Linked DNA regions of Styela clava. The protein of the gene in region 1 purifies or fractionates together with the protein of each later gene. This does not show direct contact. Links are inferred from orthologs where the notes say so. Each region holds a gene or a part of one and is shown in the gene's direction. Other genes may lie near its edges.

Region 1 (7,453 bases):
ATACCTTTTTCCCCAATAGATATTATGGAGCCATTATTACTTTCCTTCGGCAATATAACATTGCTGGAACTGATTTAGAACAAGGGAAACATCGAATAATTTATAATAAAATAGTTGATAATTTGAAGAGGGGTGACAGAATAGTGTTTCTTAGAGATGGTAGTTTGGAAGGAGCTTGTTCAAACATACATTGTAAAATATTGGCTAATAATATGAAAACTTTCAATTATAAACTTATGTGGGACATTCTTTCACTAAAAGTTAAACCAAGGATTAGACATATTACTGGAAATGATTTATGTGTACTTTGTTTTAAAGAACCAGAATTTATATCTCATTTATTTTGGAACTGTGCATTTACACAAAATGTATATGATTATGTTTTTTCTGTTGTATTAAAAATAAACAATTGCGAGTTAAAAAATATTTATAAAACATGTATTTTACTAGAACTAAATAATCAGTGTTTTTCACATTTATCATTAGTCGAACGTAATGCAGTCATACTTCTTCTGTGTACTGCAAGATATAAAATATGGTTAGAACGTAATGCAGTTATTTTTGAAAATGTTAATCCAAGTGTAAATAGTGTCGTAACAAGAATTAGAAAATCCCTTTTAGCAAGGAGAAATATAGAACAACTTAGACATAATCCTAGTTTTATAAAAGAACTAGACATAATTTGTAAGAATCTATGACTAATTGTATAAATTTTTATTTTTCTGCTATAAATTAAAAACATATAAATTAATGTATATTTACTGATAAACATGGGAAACTTTATCTGGAATCAACAATGGAATAATATGAATTGCTGGATAATACTGAATGTTTACGAATATATTTGTTTATTATATGTAACTATGTTCTATGATTATTATTTTTTCATCATTTATTTATTTTTACAAAACTGTTATGAATCCACAACGTGGACCTTTAAAAAAAACAAAACAACAACAACAGGGGTGTCAAATTCGTGTGTATTCGAGGGCCGCATTGTATATTGGGAATTGTGCCAAGGGCCGAAAACAGTTTTTGATAATGTACGGTATACTTTGGGCATTTCTATTTTATGATACATCAATCAATCATACATATTGTGTTGTAATTAAACAGCCAAATAAAATTTTGCTATTTTCTTAAATTTCAAATGGCATTTTCATAATAATTTCTTTCCTTTGCACTATTATTGCAATTTACTTTATTTATTACAAAAAATTATAAATTTTTACATACAACTGTACAACTATCCAAAACATGCATACACAAAAATGACTTGATCTTAATACAGGGTGTTCTCGGGTTATGACGGTCGCGACTTACGATGTTTCGAGGTTACAAACGCGCACTCCATAACGCTGTTTCGAGGTTACGAACGCACTTTACGAACATATACAGATATAAAAGATAATACTGTACTGTAATATCTAAGCCTATAAACTGGATCATTGTGATCAGGAAAATCAGTGCTCTGGGCTCATTGGTTTTCGTTATTTACATCGTACACGACGTGACCAATTGCGAACTATTACGAATATGAACGAATAATCACTAAGCTTCAGTCACATGGTACAGTACTGTACACAGTTCCAGTGATACTGTACGTCATTTTGGTTGTTTAAGTCGTTTTTTTCGTAACTTGTTTGATCGTTTTTTTTTTTACTTTTGCCCTTTGTTATGGACTCAAAGCAAAAAAAAGATGTTAAGATACTGCACTGTTGCACACTTGCAATTCATGCACTGTACCACTGTACAGTATAAGGTTCAGACTTACACTGAAATTTGGGTTACACCGAGTCTCAGAAACAGAACTGCGTCGTAAGTCGAGGACTCCCTGTATATAAACCTAAAATCTACAAAAATACAGAATAAACTTAAACAGCTTACTAATATCAGGCTGAAATGATTTTACAGTAGGCTACCAATTCTTAGTAACGAGGTCACATGACCATCGGTTAATTTGCATCGTTGAGAATGTTTGATTAAATTCAGAAATTACTCCCTTATTTGTAACTTAGCATCACAAGCTTATATAAAGACCGCAAGTTGTGCAGTGCCTGATATATCACACAATTCATCGAATGATAAGAAAAAATATTCAAAGTTAGCAGACGCAAATTTTATTTGTTCTTTTAAATTTGCGGACATCTTATCAATTCTAGTAGCAACTGTATTTCTTGTCAACGATAAATTTTTGAGAAGTTCCAACTGTTTTTACAAGACAGGTTTGCTGCTGATTTAGCTGTGCTTTCAACTGCAACAGTTTCATGTTTCGAAGTTGATATTCAAATTTGTCATATTGACTGCTGGGCTTACTTTGATAATGTCTACTTATATTGTATTTATTCAATGTACTGATAGAAAAGTGACAAATTAAACAGTTGGATTTCGAATTTTGAAAATATTGCAACCCCCCCTTTTTTTAGATAAATGCCACCTTCTTCATGTACTTTGCATTTCTTCTTAATCACTGAACTGTTTTTTTTCAAGTATTCTCTTGCTAGCTTGAGGTGTATCCATAATCAGGTCAAAACGAAACAAAAAAATTTGTAATTTTTCAAAACTACTTTCTGTAATTTGTCGTGTTCTGCGTGGATAATCAATTTCAATTGGGAAGTTTTAAAAAATGTATTACATTTAGATTAAAAACCTTACAAAATATATCAATAATTGTTAAGCGTTCGAGGGCCGCGAGTTCGGCACCCCTGGTCTACACTCTACCTGTCTACAGAGTCACCGCAAAAATGTGTTTCAAATGAACTCGGTTCTGATTTTGGGTCTGGTATAGTTTAGTACCACATGCACTTCTAGTTGGCCTGGCTCAACAATTATTGCATATGTCAATCCTAACCCCCACCTAACTACGTCACCGAAAAATTACGTCATTTCGACGTCGCCCACCAAAGTATGCAGATGGTCGTCCAAAACGCGCAGACGATCACCGAAATCGAGCAAGCTATTTCTCTCGTTTTCTCGCCACAACGATCCCGATAGGAGGAGGTTATAGACGGCGCATATGCCATTTCGGGCAATCTTAATTATACTTTAAAAAGTCCTATGACGTGATGGTGATGTCGTAGTGACGTAATTTTTTGATGGCATAGTCAGGTGGGGGTTAGGAATAACATATGCAAAATTCGTTATGCTACGCCCACTGGAAGTACTTGTGGTACTAAACTATACTAGACCCCTGATTTTTTGGACCACCCTATATTTATGCCAGGGTTCAAAGTCGATGGGTCGGCAGATGCAGAGTTTGAACGGTTCTATCCACTGATCCAAGGTTTGAAGTAAGGGGTTATCCCATTATCCTCGCTTCAAACATTAAAAGAGATAGTGCAGATGTTTGCTGAGAAGAAATAATAAATTATTTCAACCAAATTTAAAAATAGCGGCGTGTTTACCCCCAACCAACTTATTCCAGTATTCAATTACAGCCAAACAAATCCTCGTGATGATCGTGGCAGGAAACAAGCTACCGGTAACAGAGTGGAGATGATTTGCGAAAGTTCAATATCAATTATGTTTTGCGGACCCGCTGCTGGAAGCCTCTTGCCTTTTGTGGTACTGGTCTTTGGAAATAAACGCCTATGGATCCTGGACCACCGACTGACCGATGGCCCTGCTGGGGACAGTATATGATGCAACACCAAGTGGATAGTTTGATACCAGTACATTCATCTGCTGGTTTGAAGAAGTTATCGAACCAGTCTGTGTTAAACTTGGTGTCGAAAAAATGCTCGTAGGGGACAATTTATTTTCCCACTAAACCACGGAATGAAGGTCGTGAGTTGGGTCTCGTGTAGTTTCGACTTCAAGTACTTCTTGTGGGGGTAGCATAACGATATTTGCACATCAATCCTATTCCTAACCCCACCTAACTAGGCCATCCAAAAATTGCGTCGCAATCACGTCATGGAGCTTGCCAAAATATACCTACGATCACCTGAAATAGCATCTGCGTTGACGATAATAAACTCACTAACGGCAGGGATCTCTCTCATATTGGGATCATTGCGATGAGAAAACGAAAGAAATAGCTTGTTCAATTTCGGGTGATTGCCTGCGCGTCTTGGATGACAGTTCGTATAGTTTGAAGGGCCTCATCACGTCGTGGTGACGTAATTTTTGGATGACTCAGTCATGTGGGGGTTAGTATGCTATGCCAACCAGAAGTACCTGAGGTACGAAACTACACTAGACCCCATTGACTTAGCAGACCAACATAATGTGTATTTCGCATGCCTGCCAGAAGTCATTGGACAGCAATCATATATACTCCAGCCTCTCGACTGCTCATTTTTTCCCTTCTAAAAGCAAAATAGAGAAAAATACTAGCCTAATGGATGTCATAAACACGAATTTGTGGTTGTCCGGAGAAACATTTCCCACTTTCACTGCACCAGCGTTTTTTTAAATCCTTGTTAACAGCTGCACAAAATCTTGAATCGGGATGTCAAGTTTGTGAGATTCACCCATCTAACCCCTCTGCTGTGTTGCGTAAGCCATGAACAACTGACCAGCGATTACGATATGTCTTACTCCTCTTGCACAGGGGTGCATGGTAAGCATACCATGCCATATATGTAACGTAATATCGCTAAGTTAACGATTAGCACAGTAGCATGATGCTCCACATCCAGGCATCGCCGTCTGTGTCCTTTCCGAAGTGGTTTTTAATATGTTTCTGTTTCCAGTTATTGGTCTATATATGTGTAGAATCTGATACTTTGAATTAAACATGCCTCCAACTCAACAGGCTTCACTGAATAAAATAACGCTAAAAGGATCAGCAGCAATTGTTTCCGAATTTTTCTGTGAGTTTTTCATGCTAATTGATTCATGCTGTTATTACTATATCCTAGCGACCTAGATAAATGGTTAGACACAGCATTTTCAGTTTATGATATGCTAGACTTGACTTTCAGGCTCGAGGTCAGCACCATGCTGTAGTGCATGAAGCACAGTACAAGCTTGTATTTGATTGGATTTTATAGAATGTACAGTAGTCTTTTTTTTTTCAGTACATGGTGCCATGATGTTTACAGATTTACAATAGCAGATTAAAAGCGATCAAGCTTGGTTTTTGATATAGCCTATTGGTTATTATCATGGTACCCCTTCGAATAATGATTTGGCTCTCTGAATTTTCTACCGTATTGCATGCTCTATTTTGATTATAATTCAGACTATGGAATCAACAGCATTTTATATCAACGTGGAATATATCCAGCGGAAATGTTTACCAGAGAGAAAAAATATGGACTGACCATACTTGTTTGCACAGATGACAAGATTAAAGAATATTTGGAGGAAAATGTTTGTCCACAATTAACCGGTGATCTCCAAATTCAATTTTGAAATCAACTTCTGATTCATTTTTCATGTTCGCTAACTATTATAATCAGTTTTGTGATCTAATAAGGAAATTTTTATTACTTACATCATCTGATATCTTTAGACTTTAATAGAAGACAATAATTGGCTAGTCACGTTTGATAGTCGTGTCTTATGGAAATTAACCTTCCTTTTAGTGCCATACTTTTGCAACATAAATAATAGCATTTCAAATCCTAGGTGAGAAAATTGGAATCTGAGAATTGTGATAGTATTTATTTTGTTACCATTGTCATGTAAATTTCTTCAATTGTTGTCCAATTTCATCTCAATGATCTTTCAAAATATTATGCTAGGTAGCCTATATGTAACAAATTTCTTGTTTCCTGTTCTCAAAAGTTGTTTCATTGTTACTCAAAGCCAAGCTATGCTCGATATATGCCTGGGGCCATAGCCCATAAGTGACAATATACTCTGGTATTTAATTTTGTTCTTTAACAAAATCTCTTTGAAATGTAGTTTGAATTACCTTATGAAACTTTTCGTGTTATAGTTATTTGAGAATCCTAAAATTACTGAGATGATCTGATGGAAATCTGGGAAAAAGAATGCTATTCTGGCGAACCCCATGTCATATATTGCTTGGGATTTGACATATGATAACTTATATGATAATATTTTATGCACAGAATGGTTAGAACAAGGTGTTGTCAACAGGCTTGTTGTCGTTATAAAAGATGTTGACACAAAGGAACCACTTGAAAGATGGCAGTTTGAAATAGATTGTGACAAGACAGTAACTTCTAAAGATGGAGAAAAGAATCACAAGTAGGTCATATATTGATTTTATTTATACTTATGGCCCTATTGCTTCAAAAAGATGTAGACCCCATTTCAATGCTTCAAGCCCTTTCATCTTTCAAGACTCTGACTTTCAACCATTTTTATTCCAAATCAGATAAAAAAATCATGGAAACATTCAAATCATCCAACAGACATTTTTGTGTACATTCCATAGAGATGAAATATCATAAAATGAATGCATTTTCAATGTCCCGCTCCCAACAACATTGTTTCAGAGTCGTTACAAGCATTTTCAATGTCCCGCTCCCAACAACATTGTTTCAGAGTCGTTACAAAATTTTACAAATGTAGGATTTGCCATTTTAAATTCTGTTCATCAATTAGATGTGTTTGCAGGATAATATTCATATGCCGGTGAGCCAGTGTTTAAAATACAGTGATTCAGTATGTTTTCACTTTTGTTGAAATTCAGTGAACTCATAGTAGTTGGAAAATTCAAGCATTTAAAAATGTTATTTTGAGATTTATATCAAAACAGCAGTATTATATAGTCATAGATACCATCAGGTTTCAATTTTCAAATATCAATTTATTCATTGCATTGATTTAGAACCAAGGAAATTGCAGAGATTCATAAAGAAATATGTGCTGTAATCAGACAAATAACAGCTACGGTTACATTCTTGCCTCTCTTGGAAACTGTCTGTAAGTTTGGTTTGATTATCTCTTCAATATTCACATCAACATAATTGGGCTCAACATACTAACCTTGGAAACCAGTGGTTCCCACATTTTTGATACATCCTTCCTTTGCCTCTTTTTAAATTCTTCATTAGTCACTGGCTAGTGATAGACGCATTACCAGTAATAATACTACATGCAATTGCTAGATAAAATCTTAAATTGCAATACAAAACAGGTTCTTTCGATGTTCTGTTTTACACAAGTCATGATGCTGAAAATATATCACCAAAGTTGGAGGAAAGCAGTGCTTTCTTGATCACCGACTCTCAAGAAGTGAAACTGAGATCATTCAACACTACAGTTCATAAAGTTGAGGGGGCTGTGTCATACAAGTTTAATACCATCCGATGAAAATGCTAACACCAATTTTTTAAAAAACAGTGAAGAAACTATTGCTGCGCTCAACCTCCTACTGAAATTATGGAACAATTTTGTCCATTTCCCATTTGGTGTGACCAGTTGCGCGGCCAGGGGGTTCCGACAGGGGTACAGATTAAGAACGCTTTCATGGACATCGTAAATCGCAAAATTTATTGTACCTACGCTACCGCACACATTATAATTGAAT
Region 2 (7,246 bases), about 12 Mb from region 1:
TCATATCAAAACTATGATATAACAATTTATCTCGCTCTATCGGAACTGGTAAAGCGAGGTGCGAATCAGTGATTAATCGACTGCCTCTGTTAAAAAGATGTATTAATATCAAATAAAGAAATATGTTTCGGCTAAACGGGGGCGTATGGCAAGCGTATTTATAACAGTAGTAATTAATTTAGATTTGAACCATTGTGAAAGATCGCCATGCAAGTACCTGTGTCTCCCAACGCCTATTGGATTTGAATGTGCATGTCCTGATGGATATGAACCTATATCTAGGGATGAATCTGATTGCAAAGTAAAACCGTCACTCGTGGATGAGATCAATGTAAGTTGTTTAAATATGATTTTGACAATCCGAAATGTTTCACAATTTGAGAATATTGTAGACTCATAGACCTTGTCGCCAAATTGCAAATTGAATAACTTAATTTAGCAGGTGCTTGAAAACGTTATCGAGACAACTGAATTCACCTACGACGTGAAATCGGAGTTTGATGAGGAGAAACAGGTGAAAATCTCATATGATCAACTGCGATAAATTTACCCTGATATAAACTCAGCTCAATATGAGAGAACCTTAATGATATTTGTGATATAGACGAGACACCCAGATAGTTACATCTGCAGCCTATATCAATATTCAGGTATTACATGTATAGTTTGAAATTGCCTCATATTAATTTTCAGAGAGATAAGAAAGGAAGAGCGGCCTACGAAGATTTGTAATCTAGTATTATAAAGACGCGGATAATCCTTTAGCCGCAGCAATTTGCAATTATTATGTAAAATGATTGGACTCCCTATGCAGTATATATTTTGTATTTTTACGTAATAATGGTGTTTACTTGACTTTTCACTTGTCTAGAGATGTTTGGTCTGAAAGACCCGCGAATAATTCATGTATAACATAGTGTTGTGAAGAGTCTGTCAGAACTCATTCATTTTCAAGATAGATAAAGTCTGGAGAATATAATCGACGAATAGATTGACTTTTACTTAGTTTAAAGTTATTAGGTTACGACTATATTTCATGTTTAAGTCTTTCATCGTCGTATTTCCACAGGCTGGAATATATACGATCACATTTCATCAGTTATGTATGTTTCACTTTAGCAATTATCTGTATCCAAGTTCATAGGTATTACACTATTTTTGATTAATATTTGTTTTATTGCATTGAAAACTTTCAAGCGGTCTCCCTTTTTGCATATGTAATGAGTGATAATCAAACTTTTTTTTAAATTGTCGATTGGATACAGATGGGTAAAATGCAACATACAGTTTCCTAATTAAATATGCTCGCCAGTTTTGCAAAACACCCAGAAAATTACTGCCTGCTGCAAAGCAATGCATGAGAGTATGAGATACCAATAGTCAGATGACACAAGTAGCGAACTTTATTGCAGCAGCAAAAAGTCTGATTGGTCAGATAAAATGCGGAGGGTATAGGATTTACATCCTCCACCCGCTGCCCTATATCCCTCCATCCGAGGCCCTATCACCCTCAGCCTTCCTATTCTTCACCCGCTGCCTCCCTCAACCCACATATCCTCCACCCGCTGCCCTATCCCCCTCAACCTTCCTAACCTCCACACGCGCTGCCCTCCTATCCTTGACTCACTGTCCTAACTCACACAACTTCCCTATCCCGGAACCACTGCCCTTTTTCACCAACCTTCTTAGTCTCGACTCACTGCCCTCTCCCCTAAACTTACCTATACTACATCATACCTTATCTAACCGTGCTTTACCCACGTTCCAATCGTCAAACGCAACCTTGTTCGCTCGTGATTAGGCAAACTCTCAGGTTTTATACGGCTCGAGTATGCCAATGAGATGATAGAAGCCTACGTCGACGAAACAAGCCCACAAGGTCGGCGGCATTCGCGATATATTATTATGGATATATCTGAATATGAAACAAACGTATAGCTTCAGTGAGTGTAAATGATGACAAAAATGTTTGAAATCTTTGAAAGACGTTTATTTACATCATTTGCCAAACCATTTAAATGTAGGTTTCAGGCCCAAGTGGTATCCAATCGCCATAATTGGTAGCTTAAACATTTGCTACTTGATTTCTTGCAAATGATGTTCATTAATGTGTAGACACGTCTGTTTTAAATACACTAACGCCTGCAAACACTGAACGTGTAACCGCTGACTCGATTCAGAAAATTTATAGCACGATCCAGAAGTCTATCGCAGGAGTCACTCCATTTTTTCTTCTTATTACGGATCAGGACGACAAGTCGGTAATCCAGGCAAATGCCTTCAAACCCATATGCCGACGGAAGTTTTATAGATTATTTTCTTTTGAGTTGAGATCACCATTGTCTATTCTATACAACGTAATGGGGTTGACTTCCTTTCACCATATCCGCTACATGTGGGGTGGTATTACCAGGTTTGCTGTGTTTTCACGCCATCAACTGGGCGATTAATACGAGGGATTTTAGAGGCCAAATTGAATGTCCAAAGAAACGAAAATCGAAATTTGATTGTATGGGGTCCGATTGTATGCAAGGAGCTTCGCTCAGTAGGGACACTGTAATTGCTTATCGACCTCTCTATCTAGCTGTAATCTTGTTGACTTTATTTGCCCACCTGTAGATTGCAGGAACTTGTCACGGCAGCTTGCGTTTGGGTTGTGGACCCATGTCCAGTGGTGGGATTCAATTTTTTTGTCGGCCGGTTCCATCACAAAAGCCATATTTTTCAGCCGTTTCTGTTACAAAAAGTCATTGACAGTAACCAGTAATGCTAACCGATTCGCTGATCTCATAAAATTCCGTGAGACGGTTCTATAGAACCTGTGCTAACCGACTAAATCCCATCACTGCCCATGTCCCTTCACGGCCCTCGACAGACCCTTGATGTTTCCCCGAGCATCGACTTCCTTGTTCATTTTGTAACATTTGCCAATCAGCAAGATGCAAAAGGTGACGTAACAATAGACTCGTTGGCATCCACTCGGACACTCCTGTCACTCTGACAGATTTTCAGTCGTGGTTTCAAACAATACCTGGTTTTTTCGATTTTGAAAGCTATTCGTCAGTTTTTGGTCGTTATTCCGAAATTTAAGTATGAATCAAGTCAATCAAACTGTTGCTGTGTACGTTTCTCGTGCTAAAATGAACGTCGAACGTGCATTTTGCGCTAATAGACAAGTCACGTTAACTTTTGTACTGCTTACATGCGGATATTCATGACAGCCACTGTATTGCTAACAGCTAACCGGTATGTTAGTCGTTGCAGCTAACCTCAGGATAGTTGTCTAGAAATCTTGTATATTTTATATTTGTTTTGCTATGATGTTCTTGATATATATTCTGCAATATAGAATTTAATATACAAGACTTCAGAAATGTAGAATTTATATTGTTGAATAAATTGAATGGATTTCCCAACTTTTGGGAATTTATTGTATTGCATTGACAAAAATATTTGTCCGGCCCGTTTCAACACCGTTTGAGCATATTTACGGTTTGAGTCATACCTGGTCCGCGGTCAAAAAAGTTTGGTGACCCCTGTCTGATGTTACAAACACAGTAAAACAACCTAACTGTGACAATATGAGCATGACGACGAATTTGGTCAAGTGCGGGAACTTTTAAGGTAAAGATAATGAAAAGAATTCCTGCCTAAAAGAAAACGTGGCTTGCTGCATCGTGTCAAGCGTTGGATATAGTCTAGGGCTCTAGGCTAAGCCTACGTGAGCCATATACCCTTTGATTATCCTGCGCGGGAGCTTACAGACATTTTTGCCTGGCCTAGGATAAAGCCGAAAAGCTATACATTCTGACATTAAAATTTGAGAAAAAATTATCTGAAATATGTCTGTGTAAAATGCAATGTTCTTATTAATATTTACAATAAACATGAGAAATGTTATATTGATAATAGGCTTTAAGTTTATAGGGGGAAGTTTCCTGAGTTCAAAGGCCGGGGAAACATTGATCACGCGTAAAGGCCGTACTAATTATTTTTCAGTTGCGATGTAGGCTCTGATTTTATGAAAATTAAGGTCGCGAAAAAAAGTTTGGGAACAAATGAGGTATGGGATTAGTTAGTGGAGGAAGCCGTAACCAACCAGCGTTCACGTGAACCACTCGACAGCGACGAGGAGTCCAGCAATCCTCGCGCACATGATTACCCCCCCCCCCTCCCTCCCGCGCGATTCGAACCTGCGAACACACGCAGGTATTCAGCGGCTCGAACGCTTAGTCACCATATTTGAAAAAGCAAAATCCCGGACAGTGCATAACTATTTTCATGACCTTGTAGTAAAAAATATGCGCACGGTACGAAATAACAATGTTCTGTAATAGCAGTGTGCACAGTACGACTGCAGATGCAGTAAAATTTCGGACATTTGAGCATTTTTTAAATTCTTCTCGGACGCAAAATTTAACTCAAAATTCCGGACAAGTCCACAATTTCTGGACGGTATGGCAACACTAGCTTAGGGCGATGCACCGCCGGGCGCCGAGCCTTAAGAAACACAAATTTATCTAAAATGGTGGTTTCCCCCAACAGACTTAGTAGTTCAGAAACATTACTACATTAAGGTTACCTGTGCAAAGTTAGGGTCTGGTATAGTTTAGTACCACATATACTTCTAGTGGGCATGTGGATGATGTGGTACTAAACTATACCAGACCCTTCACAAAGTCCCAATTTTATATCTCACTATTGATAACAAAAGAATAATTGCATTCAATTCAACAGTATCTAGTCTATATAAAGGATCTTGAAATTAAATAATATGCAAGAATCCTAATTTATAACAAAATGTATTCTAGTTAATTTTAATATAATACCTAAACAAACAAAATTTTTTGTGTGAATTTCCAAGACATGAAAATATGTGAAACAAACTCTGGTTCTCCATTATATAATAAACACATTTCATTCCCCAGTTCCCTATTTCATTCACTATTTCTGTCTTCGCACAATCCCTACCTTTGTCAGATTGTGGAAACCCATTTCCAGCCCCCAGTACGGTAATTTGTTTGTAATTCCTCTTTTAGTCAGTTCAGTTGTGAGAATATAATTTTACCAACTTCTGATTACCAAATACCAACAAAATTCAGAAATTTGTTCCATCCATGTTTTGGGGGTTGGACCCCCATTTTTTTGAAATGTCCTCTAGGATCGAAATCTTATCGTAATACTATAATATGGGGTATGCCAAAAAACATTGTAATGCAATTGATTCAGATTACTAAGATCCTACCTAAGGTCAGTAGGTATTACTAATTATGAAGGTTGGCAATGCATTCATGCCACTGGGTGAAAAGCATGTGAAATCGAAAGTTAAACTGTTATCATGGTCACCGAGGCTGGATTTATTAGCAGTGGCCACAGCTACTGGCGAACTACTATTGTATCGCTTAGTTTCAAAAGAAAGAATTTGGATATTACCTGTTCCTGAGAGCGGTACAAACATACTTTCTTTATCATGGAGACCAGATGGCAAAGTCATTTCTGTTGCCTATGATTGCACCAAGGATAATATAAAATTTATTTACATGGAAAAAGCAGAAATACTTTGGAAATTTTCATCTCCAAAAACAGAACTTATAAAATGGTTTGATATGAATTTTCCTCAATTAAAAGACATTTCACATAAGAATAGGGGCCTAAATAGTGAAGAATATCTTCCCAAAGTACCAGAATTGCATATTGAAAATGAAGAAAAGACTGGCAATTTGATGTATGCTGTTAATGATGAAAATTTCTATGTTTTACTATCATGCGACTCCAATTGTAATGTGACTATTTTGGTCAATGGAATATTCCCGATAGCTCGAGTTACATGCCATGATCAATCATCACATCCACATTGCATTCTCGGAATGCAAATATCTCCCAATATAGACAGTCTCACAGTTGTATACTCAAAACATATCTCCCATTCTACAGAAACATGGGCAACAATTTATAATCTTAAGGTTTTGACTGAAAATATTGAACTTTATTATGCTGCAGCACATAAAGCATATAAGGTATTAACACTCGACCAATATTTGAATATTATTTTTGAAAGTATCAGCGAAAAATGTGACACTGTAACCCAGGAAGTTGATTCACAGTTAACAAGTTATTTGGTAAAAAGTAGCTCATCTGAAAATATTGGTGATGACTTTCTCCAGCTTTTAATTTGGGGAAAACCAACGGATTCTTTGAAAAATATATTGACAAGACATTTTACTAAAAAGGATATTAAAAAGTTGGGCATTCTTATTGAATCGTCTTATACAAGCATCCAGCAGCAATTGATAGTTAATTTTCAAACTGGTTTGATGTCACTTTACTATCATTTAACTGAGCTTAGAGGAATGGCTGTTGATAACAAAAATGTTCTTCCATTTGAGATTTCTGATGTTGAACATTTATTATCCACAACTGGTTCATTAATGCTTAAAGTTTCTGAAATGCTCCAAGTCATTGACACAAGTCTAAAAAACTTCAAAGCTTTTTTCCGTTGGCTGTATTGCTCAATGTTGAAAATGCAGGCCGAGCCAGTCGACGATATGGGCCAATCGTCTGGAAATGATGTTGCACTGGTAGCTGATTTCATTTACGAACATCTAGTATCAAGGAGACAGACAGATTTGAAAAAAGGAAAACAATTTCATTTGGAGAAAGTGTATCAGTATCTAAAAGATGAGCCGCTAACTCAACTAGCAAAGACTACTCAAAATGAATGGACCAATTTTGTTGCAAGCAGTAGTATATTATCAAACAGTAAGTTGATAATCCATCCTCAGCCAGAGTCATCACTGAGACAAATTTTTAATCGAATGACAAATCAGTTGTTAAAACTTGTAAGTTTATCTGGAGAGTCCATAAACTGCAATGTCTCGCATAAAATCCAACTTGATAAAACTGTTGGCAATTTCAGACCAAAAGTACAACTTTGGATCAAGGAGAGTACAAATGCTGGTATTACTATGGGAGTCGATGAAAACCCTGAAGGACATGGAATATATTTATTGATTTCAAATAAACACTCATCTGAAAAAGCAGATTTATTTTTCCTTGGTTCAAAACAAGTTGATTTGAACTCTATGAGAGCAATGAAGATTCACTTCAATAAATTTGAATCTCTGCCGAATGTTGAAAACACAGAAACGACAGAACAAATCCTTGAAATATTCGATTTTGACTGGTATGATGAAAACACAATGACTTTTATACTTGGTGAAAAGCTACTTGAAAAACGATCTAAAAC
Region 3 (7,991 bases), on another chromosome or scaffold:
GGTGCACCCATCTCATTGAACTGTTTGAATGTCATTCAATGGATGAATGCTTGATATACCGCGTTGCTATTTGCTTCCATTTCTTTAATGGACTGCGACTCTTCAGAAAAATTGCAAGGGGACCGTTTTGAATAATTTTTCAAAGATTTTAGAACCACTGATTATAGGTTCCAATGGATAATTAATTATAAATTTATAATAGTTCAACTTCTTCACGGGATCCGTGGTTAGGAATCTTTGATCTATTGATTCTATTCAATACTACAAAATATGGCAGACTAAAACGGGACAAATAGGCTCTATTCATTCCGACTATTGTATTTAGAGCCGTGCTTTTAAGTATCTTTTCAGGATTATCTCATCTGACATAAATGTTTCTGTAACCTTAGTTATGTTCATCCAGCATTGTGGTGCTTAGCATATCACTTCTTTGTCTAACCAATGTTTTTTTATTCAGTCAGCAGTGCAAACTGGGCAAGGAAAACAAGAGACAATGGTGAGAGACCCAAAGAAGCATGAAACGCATGTGCTGTAATGTGACAAACAGTTTGCTATTCATATACGCATGGAATTCGGTCAGAAGTCTGGGATTGAATGATATACTACAGATGAGACAGCTACTGACTTAAAAACGAGACTAGCTTAGCAAATAATGAACTATTTTACCAGGAGTCATATATAAACGGAGTTTCTACCCGTGATGGAAAGAATTATAAACGTGATGCTGCATTACAAGTTAGCGATAAAGTTTGATTGGTCTGCATAGTGACTCGCTTGAAGATTTGGTGAATAGTGCATCTTGGTATTGATGTTAGGCCGGGTTCCTGTCTTGCCAGTCCTGAGATGTTGGATGAAAATGGTTGATGTCACAGAGCGATCAGTCGTGATTAGGCTGTCAAATCGGATTTGTGTTACAATTCGAATAGCAGTGAAATAGAATAAACATGTGTTGTGGAATGTAGAAAAAATGCAAGGCGTGATTTTTTCGGGATGTTTGAACACCCAAGGCTTGGACATCATGCGAGTTCGATTTGGCTATCTTGTTTTGCTGTTTTTGAAAACATTTTACGTCATCGGTATTTAACACTAGATGCAGCTTTGAACAAAAGCTTGTGCTATTGGAGTTGGCCTCTTGATTAACTAATTCTTTTAATTAATGTCTCAAGTTTAATATGCCTTTATGGTAAAATGTGCAGAACTTACACTAAATACTGCTCTGTAATCAATGTGATGATTATTATTGTTCAGCCTAAAAAAAAAGCCATTGTTAAAGATACTTTCTATCTTTTTAATTATTGTTGAATCTGTGATAATCCGTTTGCCTGGGTTTTTTTCTCTCTATGTATTCGAGACCGGTACTATTTTAAATGATTGTAAAAACTAATCTTGATGAATGTTTTGATTCTCAGGACTTGTCCACATTCAAAGGTACATGTGACCTAATGACACCACAATTTGTATAATTACCTTTAGAATAAAATTGCTGACTCGTACATATACATTTTATTTCTATACATTAAACCGTAAATATCTCCGTTAGACCGATTAGACCAATAAGCATATATACATGCTCATTGGTCTGAGTGACAAAAGTGTCTTAGTGGTCGCTATACCTTCATTGTTATGTCGCTCTTTATATCTTGCAGACGAGCCTATGTTACACAAAGTAAATATAACAAGGATGCTCGGGGAAACTTCCAGCCGCAAATTTTTCCCGGGGCCCAAACCCGAAAATTTAATAAGTGCGCCGTGGTCGTTAGAGCGAAGAGAGTGGAGAGCGCGATCTTCAATGTTTCGAGACCGTCTCGATCGTGCGGTTACAGAGTTCTGGAGTTACCGGTACTGAGTTATAGTTAATTGGAGCTAAAACTGTAAAACAAGCAATACTTATACCGTACTACTGCAAGCTGTACTGGTACCTGGTGTTATTTTTACATTTGCACAGTCTATCTGGAATCCGGCTAAACGCCTATATCGCACAGTTCCTCGAGCATCTCTGCCTCTGACAGTCTGGAATGTTTCGTTGGCAGGTTGGGGATACCTACAGACCTACCCTGTGCTGCTGTGCCTGCTGCAGACCTGCACCAAAAAGGTTGAGAACTAGGCCTACTGATGGCAGGATGTAACGTTAGATCTAGATGCTTAATCAGTGGATAGCCTACCAGTACGGTACGGTAACTGTTGGATTGCCTCGATTAACTTTCTAAGCTGGGCTACTCGCATGTCGCATCTAATACGTATGTCAGTAGACTACCGCTATGTAATACCAGAATACTGTAATACAGTAACAATACCACATAGGCTATTTGTATTTGCAATGTGCCTGTCCAAAGTCAGTGCTGCAGTAAGTGCATTTATATCTCAATACTGCAATACAGCAATACAGCCCAGTCTGGATTTCATGGCCTTTTCGAACGAGAAATCGGGCGTGCAATCAGAAATTCCCGCGTGCAAATAAGAATTTCTGGCGTGCAATTATAGCTCACGGCGTGCAAAACAACTGCGCCCGCTAAACTGATTTCGAACTAAGATACCTCTCAATACATCCGCGTAAAAATAAGTTGGATCATAGCAAAAATGGACGTTTGACCTTTGACCCCCAAAAACATCATTTCTATATTTTGTCACTAATTTTGAGAGTGTTTGTGCGACTTTAGATACCGGTACTGTTCAGTACATCCGTGTAAAATTATTGTATTAAAAATACGCTGAATCAGAGCCATAACTGGCCAGCGTCGGTGAGGAGGCGATTTTTCTCACGGGATTCCTATCATTCAACACGATATGGTGATTTTTGCTTCGCATTTTTCGATCAGGCCAAATCTTGCAAGCAAGTATTAGTCGACAATTGTAAAGTTATAATTTTTTGGCATCTTTATATTACTAGATTATTGATTTAAAAACTATTTAAACCGATTTACATTGGTGAGCAATTGCAAATTTTCGGCGTGCAAAATTGAATTCGCTCGCGTGCATTTTTGTGGAGCGCTAGCGCCCTCGGGCGTGCATCTGCCATGGAATCCAGTCTGGAATACAGCAATAACTTATCTCAGTATCTTCAAATCTCTGAATCCAGATGACTAGATGATGTTGTCAAAGCTTTGTTATAGCAGTAACGGTATATCTGTATATTGAAATGAAAGCAATGAAGATTCACCAAATTTATTACGTTCCGTTGTTATTATTATCATAATGTTTCTCATTATTCAGTTATTACTGCAGTACTGTATGATTATCGTTATACATAGGTAGTTTCTTGTTTTATTTTAAAGGCTTTCCCCCGGTAGAATTTTTTGTAATTTTTTGGATAATTGGATAAATAATGTAATAAGTCGATTTCATGGTGTACAAAGTATTAGAAGTGCCGAAATCAGGCTTCAAAGCCATCAATACAATATATCTCCTTGGGTAAATGTTACTTAATTTGCTTTTGAATTTGCTTGTTCAATCTTTATTTTAAAAGATGTATTTGTGCAAATCAGATTCGATTTGTTCATACCTCAATTGTATTGATGGAAATGAATAGGTTTGATATTTCACTTAGATTTAATTTTTTTTGTTGTGAAACCCTCCTGTGAATTCATGCTTGTTTACCAATATATCTGGCAACAGTGATTAGAGATATTATTGTTCAGCTGATTTTGATTCATTTTTCTGGCAATTGTGGCTATTTTGTTCCATCAATTGCCGGACTTCTGGCGCTGAGTTAAACATGGATATATGTAATTTAGTAATCTGTGAACGTTTAGGATGCCTTAGGACAGGGATGGCGAACCTTTATCAATGAATGGGTCAAAAATCATATTTTTATCGCGGAACAGAAGAGAGTGGGTCACAGATATTTAATCAATGTTTGTATCTATAAGAAACATCTGAAACAAATCATAATACAACGGTTCTGTTAATGTTGGTGTAGTTTAGTGCTTTACTTTACAGCACTTTATCAGGAACTTTTTATGGCACTCGATCAAGGGTACGAAAACACACATGTGAATTACGTTGAGGATGATGCGGCAAATTATTTTACGGTTCCAAAGAGTTTGAAGGGAATTCCACTCTGATAGTGCTATAGTTTTATATCAGCTTTAACCATATTAAAAGCACTTTTACACTGCCCCATTGTTATTCCAGATTTCTAGGTTTTATTTCAAGTCTGAAAGATTTTGTATTCTCAACGGCATTGTAGGCGAGAAACTAATAAAATGCAAAGTGGCATCTAGTTCTCGTACAACCCCTAAAACAGTCTGCAGATGCACTTCTGAAGAGACAAGACGTTGCGAGAAATGAACATCAATTCGATTGTTATGTCATAAACGATGTCAGAGCCAATAGCTGAATAACGGCACACAACGGTGCAGACATGCGTCCAAGATTGGGGGTTTTGAATATTATCATAACGGAAATTAACAATTTGAATATAAGCGATCGCAGCCCTGACTGCCCAACTGACGGTACATTATAATAGTTTAGGTATTGTTAGATTAATTTAAGGCCGATTTTAATATTTTTTATCACTGATATGTTAGCATTTTTCTTATTTTATTCGTGCCTTGGCGGGTCACGAATAAAACGCGGTGGGTCACTTTGTGACCCGCGGGTCAGTGGTTCGCCATCCCTGCCTTAGGATGTCAGAACGTCAGCCCACACTCGTGTGACGCTATCCCACTAATGGGGATGGCAGCCCACACTCGTGTGACGCTAGCCCACACCCGTTTTTGTCAGGCCATACTAGGGGTAACTGGGCCGTGCTTGGTATTGTATTTGCGTTGTGTATATCAGATATGGTCTCTATATTGTCAAGAGTCACCAAGTTTTTATGTAATAACATTTACAAAGTCAGTAAAATAGTTGGTTAACCCGTTGACGTCAGCCTGAGCAGGTGTGGGCTGCGGTAACCTTGGTTATCAAAGTGATGAGTGGATGTTCAATTACAGAATCCAGAATTTAGACATTCACCTTACCCCACCTTACTCAGTTACTGGAATCACATTTTGACATTCGTCTACTTTATCAGGTGTCCACACTTTGATCTGCCAGTTTTCAGTAATGCTATTACTGTATTATTTACGGTACAGTATTATTGGTATATTTCCAGAACTCACTACAAATTTCATATCTGTTCTCTGTTGTAATGAGACATTTTTAATTCAGTCAAATCATTCGGTACTGCAGTAAGTCTATCTTCAGATCTAGCCCATTCTTGTTCAGTTAAATAAATCGCTTCTATTTTATTCTAATTGTGCAACTCCTCCTCCTTTTTGCATTCAAATTGTATGTTTTTCTTTCGCGATTCTTTTTTTGAGGTGTTCAGTTTAGTTTTGTGAACATTATACACCTTGATTAGTAATTCTGGAATAAGCATTCTCACTAGTCACTTGCTCATATTCAAATGCAGAAATGACTGGAGTCATATGAGGGATTCTGAGATTCTAGTGCAGTACTGCTCCTGTGGATACCGAACATCTTACTCCATTTCTGATATTCAAGATCAGAGGTCGGGCAGTCATTTATCTGTTCATTGACCCACAGTAGAGTTCAGAACTTTGTATAACTTTGAACTGTAGCATTGCATAGTCAGATAGTAGTTACTCTAAAAGCTATAAATTTATTGCTTAAAGAATAAAGATTTTGAATTTGTTCTGAAGTTATTAAGGTAATTCTGTATTTGTTATTAATGGATTTGAATCACTCTACAAAAATAAAGACACCTATTTTGACTCATGAATAACTCCAGTAATCTACTGCGAACATCAACTTCTGTTAATGCAATGATTGTCGCTCTGGAACCAGTGGAGTTTATACCCTATGGTCGCCATGCTATTTCTAATCATCCAGGTGAGCGATAATATCACAGTATTACTATGTCCCTCTTAGTGTTCTATCAATTTGCTCCTACCAAAAATTCACTATTACCTACCTTAAAAATAAGAAGGGTGGAAAAAAGAAAATGTTTTGTATGGTTTGAGAATGCACAAGAAATAGCATTTTGCAAATACAGTACCGGTAGCTGACCAATAAGTGAAAACAGAAATAGGTAAATGAGAGTTTTTTCTTCGCAAATTGCTTTAAATTTTTCAGGCCATCAGTGTTTGTCATATTGGTGACATCGAACAGTAATCAGTAATTTATTTTATCACCATATAAGAAATACACACTGTACATACAGAACGAGATAAGAAAAGAGAGGAAAATAATGCATTTCAGGGTAAAAAGGGATGCGATAAACCAGCATTGGTTATCGAGCAGCGACACCTATGAATAGTCTAACATTGGGTCATACAAGTTTAAAAAACAAACTCAATATAGTACTAAAGTGAGGAGTCGGACGCCAAAATACTGACATTGGCATAAATATGTTTGAAAAGACCGGATATTTCCGGACTCACTAAGCAAACGACTCCGAACGCCGACTGGCGTTGAGAACTTAATGTAAACAACCTTATGCCACCTACTTCTGGATTATTTGAAAAAAAATTTGATATCCTGTTTTGTTTTATTTTCACAGGCCTTTCTTGTCTTCACTTGCATCAGTCACAAGCTCCTCTAAGATTAGATCGAAGTTTAATCGGTTCTTTCAGCAAAGTTAGCTTGGATGACAGGAATAGGGTATAAATTTTCATATGGATGTATATAATTACGGATGCCATAGTTGTGAATGTTTTTATTGAGATTACAATAATATGTATGTGTATAGGTAGGCCTACTGCATCGGTGTCTTACGTGAATATATATAATCATTGCCTAATTTATATTTATTTAATACACATGTAAATGTAATATATTTGGGATATTTTCAGGTTTCTGAGAGATGGCACCTGCGGAAATATGCAAATGCTGAAGAGGAATTATATATTTGTAAAAATACTATAGTATGGAGTAGAGGATACAAAGTCATCAGTACATATACAATTGATTCACCTGTAATTCATGTAAGATATAATTCCTTCTAATTCTAGCTTTAAGTGGATGTCTTGGATGCAAATTGAATAGGCTTCTACTTTTTTTTTCTTGGATGATATTCATTCAATCATTTTGAACAACCTATTAACTGGAATGTTGAAATAACCTGTCAATATGGTGTGATAGGTACTGCACTGTACCTTTATGGTCAGTTAGCACTGTTAGCAGTTTTGTTTTTTAGTCTGGTATCGTTTTTCACTGAATCCTGAATGCCAAAATCAAAGGATCATCATTCCCTTTATCGCTCGGAAGCTCTTTTCTTTTTGAAGTGCCTTTTTATTTTTGAAGTACTGATATTGGATATCAGATCAAAGTCAATTATGGTAAATAACATAATTGGCAGACCTTTTGGGTACAAATACATTAAAAAATATATTAATCCTGATGCAAAGTTAATACATTTCATGTTTGAGAAGACCCATGCAACAGAAATTTTGAGCAAATAAGCGACCCCACAAAAAAATAAAATAAGCATAGCCATCCAATAAAATGCCGGAAAATATGGCATATCCAAAAATTAAACCAAAAATGTTTATTGACTTATGACAGGCTATTTGGTGTTCATTTGTGATTGATGGGGAAGATTCTCATATTCATGAATTATATAAAAATACTGATGAACATGGTGAAAATAAGAAAAACGTTGAAGGATTTGTTGCAGTATCTGATGGAAGTTTGCATGTGTTTTCTCGAGAAGGAGACGATTTTGTGACAGCATTGCCATTCCAAGTATGTGTTGTCAGTTGTCAAATTACAAATGAAAAGAAATTCATACCAAGTATCATAACATAAATCAACAGAAACTACCCTTTTCATTAGCCAATTCCAGTGTATAGAAAATTCAAAACATTACAATCCTGTAATTAAAATTGTCCCACGGTCATATTTTAATTAAGATTTATCACTGCATGAAATTTTGGTCAATTTATCGCAGGTTCGAAAAGTGTGGAACACTGATTTTGGACTCGTTTTTGAAAGAAATCAGAATTCAAGTGATTCAGCTCCATCAGTATCATCATCAGATAAAGCAC
Region 4 (8,009 bases), on another chromosome or scaffold:
GAATGTTTGTCATAACGTCGATGATGTAGCAGGTTGCCTGATTACTTGGGTCATTTGGAGCCAAATGTCGTTCTAGTTTGCGGACAGTGGCACTTTTTATTGGTTTAGTCATAAATCCTTTCGAGGCAAACAGAGGAGCATCTTCTTTCTTAATTGCTGCCTTGCCCTCAATTTCTGTACACCTTTCTCGGAGTTTTCAGGTTAGTACGATGAATAGTTTCAGAAAGTTAAACTGTTTTAATTATGAATCTTTCAGTTCGATATCTTTTGTATAATTCATCATTTTTACATTGAGAAGTTGTTCTCTGACGTTAATGGGCATAACGTCGTTACTGAGGAGAGGATGATGTGCAGCCTTTTTTCTTCAGGGGGCATTTCGAAAGGATTTTCGTTTTTCTGTACGACATTCAGGATAGATTGCGTGCTAGTTCCTTCGTATGAAGTCCCTGCCTTACTAAATGCTCTATTCACCTCTAGTTGGACACGTTTAGTGGCCATAACGATCGTTTTAAAATTTTGTTGTTATTGTTATTTTCTTTCGTCATTATCATTAAAAAATCGCTTTTCTCTTCGAATACTGGACCAATTGCTTTGAAATTTTCAGTGGTTAAAGATAAAATTTTTCTCCAGAAGGCTATCACTTTTTTTTTCTCGCTATGACGTCATCAAAATTATTGCCATTGGGTGGCGCTATGTGTCTATATATTTGAGCATAGCTCTCTTGTTCATATTAGGATTCTTACTTTAAAAGTCGAAGACTGTTAAGAGCATTTCCATATTTAGCTGTCCTTCCGTCTTGCTTGGAGAATGCTTCCCACCCTAGAAACACTTCTTTCAACATCCGCATCCCTCTTAACGATCGGACATAAATTAAAATCCTTTCAAGTTGAGATTTCATTGTGTATGCTTTGTAGCACAAGTTACTCAGATGATATAAAAATTTACTGTGAAAGACAACTTTCAATCGCTTGCTTTCAACGTCTTTCTCAATTAATGGTGCATCCCAAATCGACTTACGTCCATTTTCGGTTCCTACCGTTTTCTCAGTAAAAGTCTCGTGACAGATTATACATTTTGAATCATCTACATTCTACTAGAACGGTCTGGTCAACGAATTCCGTCGACACATGCACGGGGCCATGTTTTCCGCGACATGCGACAGAATGCGTCCGAAGCATAGCCTACAAAGGTCAGCTACCAAGAGCACAACAATAGGTGTGTGGCATGTTATTTTGTGGCCTTTTTTTAACCAAATATTATGAGAGTGACGGAAGGAGGTAAAAAAAATTTTATTCATGCATAGCAGTTGTTAACTGATAATACAGATGATATACACCTTGATATGACCCATGGTGTCATTTTGTTATCTATCAAAGTGGTAATAGGAGTTCCCCCTCAGATTTTCGTGACTTTTTAACCCCTGGTGACCTCAGTTGAACTCGTATTACCCAAATAAATAATTGGAATGAAATAGCATGCCAAGGCTAATAATTTGTGCAATGTGCAAGATTGTTGAAAATAAAAACTACGAATATAATGGACATTCAATTTTTTTCCTACCCCTGATTTATTGGTCAAGATATATGGGCGTTTACGCAATATAAAAATTCCAATTTCTCGCTAATTGCGTGGCTTCAGAAATGGTAACCGAGGTTTTCTAATAGGGGAAGTGACACAATTTCGGGTAGAAACTTTGCTCACGAGATCGGCCACAGCGGATGCATTACTACAACAATTACGAGTATCGGGTGGAAACGAGGGTATTTTTCTGTATATCGAATTTGCTGGCGATCACCATATATATATATATTTATCAGCAAACTAGAATCCTGTTTGTGATCTAATTGCGCATTCTTAAACGTTCAATAGGATAGATTGGTAATCCCAAAGAGCGTTTCTAGATATTCACACTTAGTAAAGATCTGATCTCTGGTTATTTTAATGTGAATGAGAATATCTTTGCAATCAATATTTTTTTGCATTTCAGCTTCAATTCCTTCCTGCTTTTTTATCCTCATAAAGGATTTTGGCCCATTCTGTTCTCAACAACTTATGCAAGGTAAAACAGGGTGACTTAGGTCTAAGTTGCACTGAACAAATTATTAGGGACATTTCATTTCTGATGTTCATGCCCATCATATTGGAACTGCGGACTATCTTTATTTAATATTTTGGGGTTTTGAGCCATGCTCTACAGTCTACAAGATGGTAGTCTTTAAATCCTGAATTTCTCAATAATAAAATTTTTAGCTGGACTTAGCCCATCATGTTCTGAACTTCTACAAAATATTATAGTCCTAAGTCCAGCTAAAATTTTTATTATTGAGAAATTCAGGATTTCAAGACCACCACTTAGGCCCATTCTGTTTTAAACTTCTACAAAATATTATAGTCCTAGTCCAGCTAAAATTTTAATTATTGAGAAATTTAGGATTTCAAGACCACCACCTTGTAGAGCAAGGGTTCTCAACTCCCATGTAAAAGGGCCGCATTTTGACCACAAACGATGCGACGGGCCACAGAATATTATTACCATATATTTGTACTATTTATTCATTTATTAGTCCGATACTGATGTATAATATGCTTTTTGTTTTCCTTTTTATGCATTTTAAAACATAGTTAATGGATAGCATTCGTAAGTTTGCAGTTCCAATTTCTTCCCTAACGAGAACTATGACAAAATTTTACAACATAGAAAAAATATTATTATATCTAACAGCAACAATTTTTTTGCAATTACAAAGACGTTTTTTTCCTAAATGAGAATTCCGAGTCTGCATTCTGTTCACAAGTAGGCCCTACTTTAAAAAAAATCATAAGATCACAACCAGATGGATATGCAATTTTGAACTCTTGAAGCTGTTTGTGGTGGATAGGATAGGATTTACATATTTATCCCGGGGGAGAGGAAAGCCGATAAGACGGCCTATCCATATGGCGAACCCCGGCCTCTCGTCCGGTTACCATTCCAAGTCGGGTATGGGATTAGTTTTACTGTGTCGTTGTAAATTTACTTCGTTGACAAATGAGACAGATGGGTTTCCCATTTATCTCTGCAAAAGCAAATTCATTCATTGTTCCACGCAGAGTTAAAAACTCTGTTTCCGTCGTTTAATTTCTCTTCGTTGTCGCCATGACTTAGTGCCTTCAAGCTGGACGCAGTGTAACACCGTTTTGAAGCGCGTTTCCGAAGGTATATGGAGGGTGCAATGAGCGAGCTAAGTAACTCAATTTTTACGTAACAATACGTAATTATGTTCTATGATTATTATTTTTTCATCATTTATTTATTTTTACAAAACTGTTATGAATCCACAACGTGGACCTTTAAAAAAAAAAAAAAAAAAAAAACAATACGTAATTAATCTATTTGCTGTGATGACATAATCCATAATCTTATCATGCGCTGTAAGGGTTGAGAAGAATGATACCGAATTAAAAAATCGTTTATATTCGTTACGCCGCAGATATTATGATATGTTTGGGTTCATCAAAGATCTTTGGGGGGCCGCAGAATACGCATCGACGGGTTGAGAACCCCTGTTATGTAGCATGGCTCAAACCACAGACAGAGGGTTATTATACCAGAGCCATTACCGTATATAATAGCTCTGATTATACTTTGTGATTTCACGAGTGTTTCATTCCAGCCAGTATTCCGTTTCATTCCGCCATGGTTTTGCGTTTGTTTGTATATTAAACCACTTATCACCTTTTCCGCAATGCCCAATCTAGCAATCAGTGTAGTTTTTCATGGCTTGGTTTTTCTTAAAGCTTTCATGGCCTCATGAGTATGACTATCGTCGCAAATTTATTACATTCCACTCCCCACATTATCTTTGCATGAGGTTGTAGGTATTGGTCATTATCAACGTAATTGTTGAAAGAGAGTACAACAGCCCGAAAGTTTATTAGTATTACTATCGTGTATTTTGTTTTTTAAGTTTGGCCCAAGCCTCATTTAATTGGGCTTGTGTTTTTGTGTGCGTGCTGGTGGGCAGGCACATGAGATACTTCATGTTTTAAACTTTTTTGTAGGTTTTGCTTGCCCTCCAGAATTCTCCATTTTAAATTTAGGTTTGTTATGGAGTTTTCGAAATAAACTATCTATCTAAGAACAAGATAGATTTTCACGCACGCCGCCGCCGCTGCATGTGGGTCACGAAGTACCGGTAGCCTCTTTTTGGCAAAGTCAAAAAGTTTTGATTTGGCGCGCTTAGCAAAAAAGGTACTCATCGTGCGTTTAGAGATGTGTGTTACTGTATTATCCGGACCTCAACTACCGTATCAGACTCTGTAATTTCTAATGAAACTTTTTTCTGTGAATTGAGATTTGACTGAGTTTATGTAGTACGGTACATACCGGTACGGTACGGTAGTATGTGGACAATGCCGGTACAAGACATACGGGAATCTAAGTTTAATCTGTTCTGATGAATTTTTGACCGGTTACCGTAAATAAATAATAATACATTGTGTCAAATTTATAGCGTATGGGGAACATTTTTGGGGTCTCGTGTAGTTTCTTACCTAACATACTTCTAGTGGGCGTAGCATCATAATTTTTTGACATGTCAATCCTAACCCCCACCAGACTATGCCATCCAAAAATTACGTCACTACGACATCACAAACACGTCATAGAGCTTGTTAAATATACGTACTATCGCCCGATATGGCGCCGGTGCCTTCGTAGAGACGTAATATTTGGATGGCATAGTCGGGTCTGCAGGTGGGGGTTAGGATTGACACATGAAAAAATTGTTGTGCTACGCCCACTAGAAGTATGTTAGGTAGAAAACTACATGAGACCCCATTTTTGTTTGTTTGCTCTTTTGGTTAGCTTATTCAGTTATTCCTGTATTCTGTCTAATATTTTTTGCATTGATCGTTTTTTGCCTTATGTGTAACGCTTTACAGTTGTACCGGTATAAATTTGAGAATATATCAAAATAAGTTTATTCACCATCTGCAGATCTGTACTGGTATTACATCTGTACATATATATCAGTGTATCTAAAAAAATATGATTTTAAAACTTTCACAGATATAGCTATGCATTCATTGAATTTCTGAAAAGTGATTCAATCTGTCAATGGAGCTCTTCTTGTCTCGTGTGACTGGAGATAAAAACAGTGGAAATAAAGGTCCTGATCAATGGATTCCATTTTCAACAAAGGTGAATGATGTGGTAACACTTGGTCGATCATCAGATTTACCTATACGATTGTTATCACAACATGTTTCTAGAACACATGCAGAAATATTGAAAAAGAAAGATGAAAACTTTTACATTAAAGACCTAAATTCATTGAATGGAATACACGTCAATGGTGTTAAAATTGAGAACTCTAACTGGCATCGTCTTAGTGCTGGTGATAAAGTGGAGATTGGTAGACCTGATGATGAGGAAATTTTAAAAACAATGAGCGCCAATGATCGATTTATTTATAATGTGTTATCTGCAACCAATTCGGAATTAGACAGCAAACCACGGGGGCCAAAGACGCATATGTCTGAATCTTTAAAAAAAGATTATTTAAAGCTGCATCCAGCAAAAAGTAAAAGACTTGCTAATGGTGCTTCAAAACAAGTAGAATATAAAAAATCCAAAAATAAAAATGCCAAAATTGTTAAAATAAATGTTCCAACAGTTGACCACGAAACAAATTGTAATGATAAAATGGTACATTCCACTGGAAAAAATAAAAATAAAAAAATGAAAATTGAAACTCAATCAGAAACAAATCATGAAATGGAACGAGAAAATAAAAGATTAAAACTACAGCTCGAGGAGAAAGAACAAGCTTTGAAAGAAGAAATTAATTTGCGAAACAAAAGAATTGAAGACGAACAAAAGAAAATTACACAAAAGCTTGAGCAAAATTTCAAAACCAAACTTGTAGAGAAGGAAGAAGAATTAGAGATGAGGCTTCAACTAGAAAAAGACATTGCATTTGAGCAGTGTAAAGCATCATTTGAAAAGGATAAGGTAAATTCTTCAACTATCAAAACGGTGGTAGATACAATGGAAAATGAACTTCAGTGTGCAATTTGCTCAGAGTTATTCATTGTTTCAACGACATTGAACTGTGCTCACACATTTTGTGAATATTGTATTAATGAGTGGAAAAACGTTAATAGTATTTGTCCAGTTTGTAGGCAGCCCATATTGACATTGACACGATCTCTTGTTCTGGATAATTATATTTCTAAAGCTCTCGAAGGTATTTCTCCTGTTCTTAAAGAAAAAAGAGAGAAAATTATTGAGGAGAGAATGAAAATTGAATCTGAAATTGCCAAAAATAAAGCAAATAGGGGGCGTGGGCGTGGTTCGAGGGGTGGTCGGGGTCGAGGAAGAAGAGTACCTAACTCTCCTATCGACCTGAGTAGATCAAACAATGATGACAGAGAAGGCCACTCACGGTATCGCACTCGATCTCGAAATATTATAATAGTAAGCGATGTTGAATCATCAGATTCTGAGGAGAGTGATTCTTATTCTGACAGCGATAGTTCTAATGAATTTGGAAGGATCACTTTCTTTTATTGAATTGTAGCAACTTTATTTCACATATATAGGCAATATGGAATTACTTCACATTTATGGAAATCAATCATAGAGTTAAATTGCCAAATGGGATCAATTTTTTAAAATCAGCTAAAGCTGAAAAGCCTTGGGAGAAAATTTGACAGACAAATAAAGTGATAGCTTCTGAGGTGACATTTCCATCCACTAAAAGTTTCAAACAATTGGTTCATTATTTCAAAAACTAATGGCATCGGCGAATACAATTTTGCAATGTGCAATTCAAGTCTGTTGGAATAAAAGCCATAAATATATTTTCTTCAAGTTGAAATGATTGTATGTTTGATTAGATTTTAAAACAGTATCTCACTGTTTTTCATCAGCATTCACATGTGTCTATCTTCTGTGCCTGAAAGACCTTTTAGATCTAGCGTAGCTGCAGCACATGTAAAATATATATAATGTACAACAACAACACTCATATTGGAGAAGTAAATTTCCACGAATTCCTTACCCTCGCTTTCCTATGTCAAAATTATGCTTGAAATGATTTCATCGGACAGTGTTCTCTTATATATATATATTGCCATTGTTATATTGGTGTAATATGGTATTGAGTATTTAATTATAATAGGGTAAAAGTATTTGGTGTTCGGATAAGTTTTTGTCAGGTTGTTGTATATGTTTTTTTGCATTTTGAATTTCTTTTTGTTAACTGCTTTATATGTTCAATGAAATATGAATATTCATTGTTTTATTTGTTATTGCTGAAACATTTTCTTAACAAAATAAAAACACCAGTATGTTCGTTCTTATGATACTTCATTTTGTTCAAATTGGTTTTTTCCTAGGTAGCTTATTTTTTTTAGGAGTACGAGATACTTGAAAACGAAGGAGCATCAGTTTATCACATTATATTATGCTGCTTATTTCTATGAGAAACAGTGACCCGCTTTCTTATTTCAAGCTTGGCTACATTGTTTCAGAAAAGTCTTTTGTAATGAACTTTTATTGTATAAATATTTACTTTTTGATTTGTTGCCTTCTGCTTTCACAAAACATGTAGTTGTGATACCAAGTTGATAAAATATTTTCTTATTTTTTGTCTAAGCTATTCATTCGGTTCTCCAGCCACTGTATATATTCAAATAAATTAACTGTATAATAAAATAAACCTCTAAAACCGCTAAGAGTGAATCAAAAATATGTCAAAAAATGACAAAGTCGATGAAATTGCCTCCTTGTTACAAAAAACTGAAGTTCGACAGCAAAATATTGTCAGTTTCAAAGGACAGGGATTAAAACTGAATAATGAAGAAGATGCCAAGAAAGTTATACAAGCTATTCGTGACTGTCCAGATCTACAGGTACTTGTTGCCTTGGCCTAATTAAACAATTTTTGTAATAGATTAGTAAAAGATTTACAAATATGCCCTAACCATAATTTCAGAAATATGAATCTTGACTGAAACTCCTT

Evidence for each region.
Region 2: the proteins of mitotic spindle assembly checkpoint protein MAD2A-like (region 1) and anaphase-promoting complex subunit 4-like purify together in Homo sapiens (affinity purification with western blotting; 14 studies listed by BioGRID and IntAct, with this or other methods). This does not show direct contact. The link is inferred for Styela clava from reciprocal best matches to the Homo sapiens genes MAD2L1 and ANAPC4.
Region 3: the proteins of mitotic spindle assembly checkpoint protein MAD2A-like (region 1) and anaphase-promoting complex subunit 1-like purify together in Homo sapiens (affinity purification with mass spectrometry; 3 studies listed by BioGRID and IntAct, with this or other methods). This does not show direct contact. The link is inferred for Styela clava from reciprocal best matches to the Homo sapiens genes MAD2L1 and ANAPC1.
Region 4: the proteins of mitotic spindle assembly checkpoint protein MAD2A-like (region 1) and uncharacterized protein LOC120327195 purify together in Homo sapiens (co-immunoprecipitation; 3 studies listed by BioGRID and IntAct, with this or other methods). This does not show direct contact. The link is inferred for Styela clava from reciprocal best matches to the Homo sapiens genes MAD2L1 and RNF8.

The regions. Positions count from the first base shown.
Region 1 is NC_135260.1:18,873,570-18,881,022, reverse strand, and holds the start of mitotic spindle assembly checkpoint protein MAD2A-like, read left to right. Parts: upstream 1-4,446; 5' UTR 4,447-4,741; coding exon 4,742-4,817; intron 4,818-5,188; coding exon 5,189-5,338; intron 5,339-6,026; coding exon 6,027-6,165; intron 6,166-6,751; coding exon 6,752-6,846; intron 6,847-7,060; coding exon 7,061-7,236; 3' UTR 7,237-7,453. UniProt on the Homo sapiens protein: Component of the spindle-assembly checkpoint that prevents the onset of anaphase until all chromosomes are properly aligned at the metaphase plate.
Region 2 is NC_135260.1:6,796,610-6,803,855, forward strand, and holds the start of anaphase-promoting complex subunit 4-like, read left to right. Parts: upstream 1-4,224; 5' UTR 4,225-5,270; coding exon 5,271-7,246. Other genes in the region: low-density lipoprotein receptor-like, read left to right, coding at 183-331, 440-514, 694-732. UniProt on the Homo sapiens protein: Component of the anaphase promoting complex/cyclosome (APC/C), a cell cycle-regulated E3 ubiquitin ligase that controls progression through mitosis and the G1 phase of the cell cycle.
Region 3 is NC_135259.1:2,111,636-2,119,626, forward strand, and holds the start of anaphase-promoting complex subunit 1-like, read left to right. Parts: upstream 1-4,982; 5' UTR 4,983-5,720; coding exon 5,721-5,835; intron 5,836-6,505; coding exon 6,506-6,606; intron 6,607-6,797; coding exon 6,798-6,929; intron 6,930-7,509; coding exon 7,510-7,689; intron 7,690-7,894; coding exon 7,895-7,991. UniProt on the Homo sapiens protein: Component of the anaphase promoting complex/cyclosome (APC/C), a cell cycle-regulated E3 ubiquitin ligase that controls progression through mitosis and the G1 phase of the cell cycle.
Region 4 is NC_135253.1:16,792,619-16,800,627, reverse strand, and holds uncharacterized protein LOC120327195, read left to right. Parts: upstream 1-5,003; 5' UTR 5,004-5,098; coding exon 5,099-6,556; 3' UTR 6,557-7,643; downstream 7,644-8,009. Other genes in the region: ran GTPase-activating protein 1-like, read left to right, coding at 7,738-7,899. UniProt on the Homo sapiens protein: E3 ubiquitin-protein ligase that plays a key role in DNA damage signaling via 2 distinct roles: by mediating the 'Lys-63'-linked ubiquitination of histones H2A and H2AX and promoting the recruitment of DNA repair proteins at double-strand breaks (DSBs) sites, and by catalyzing 'Lys-48'-linked ubiquitination to remove target proteins from DNA damage sites.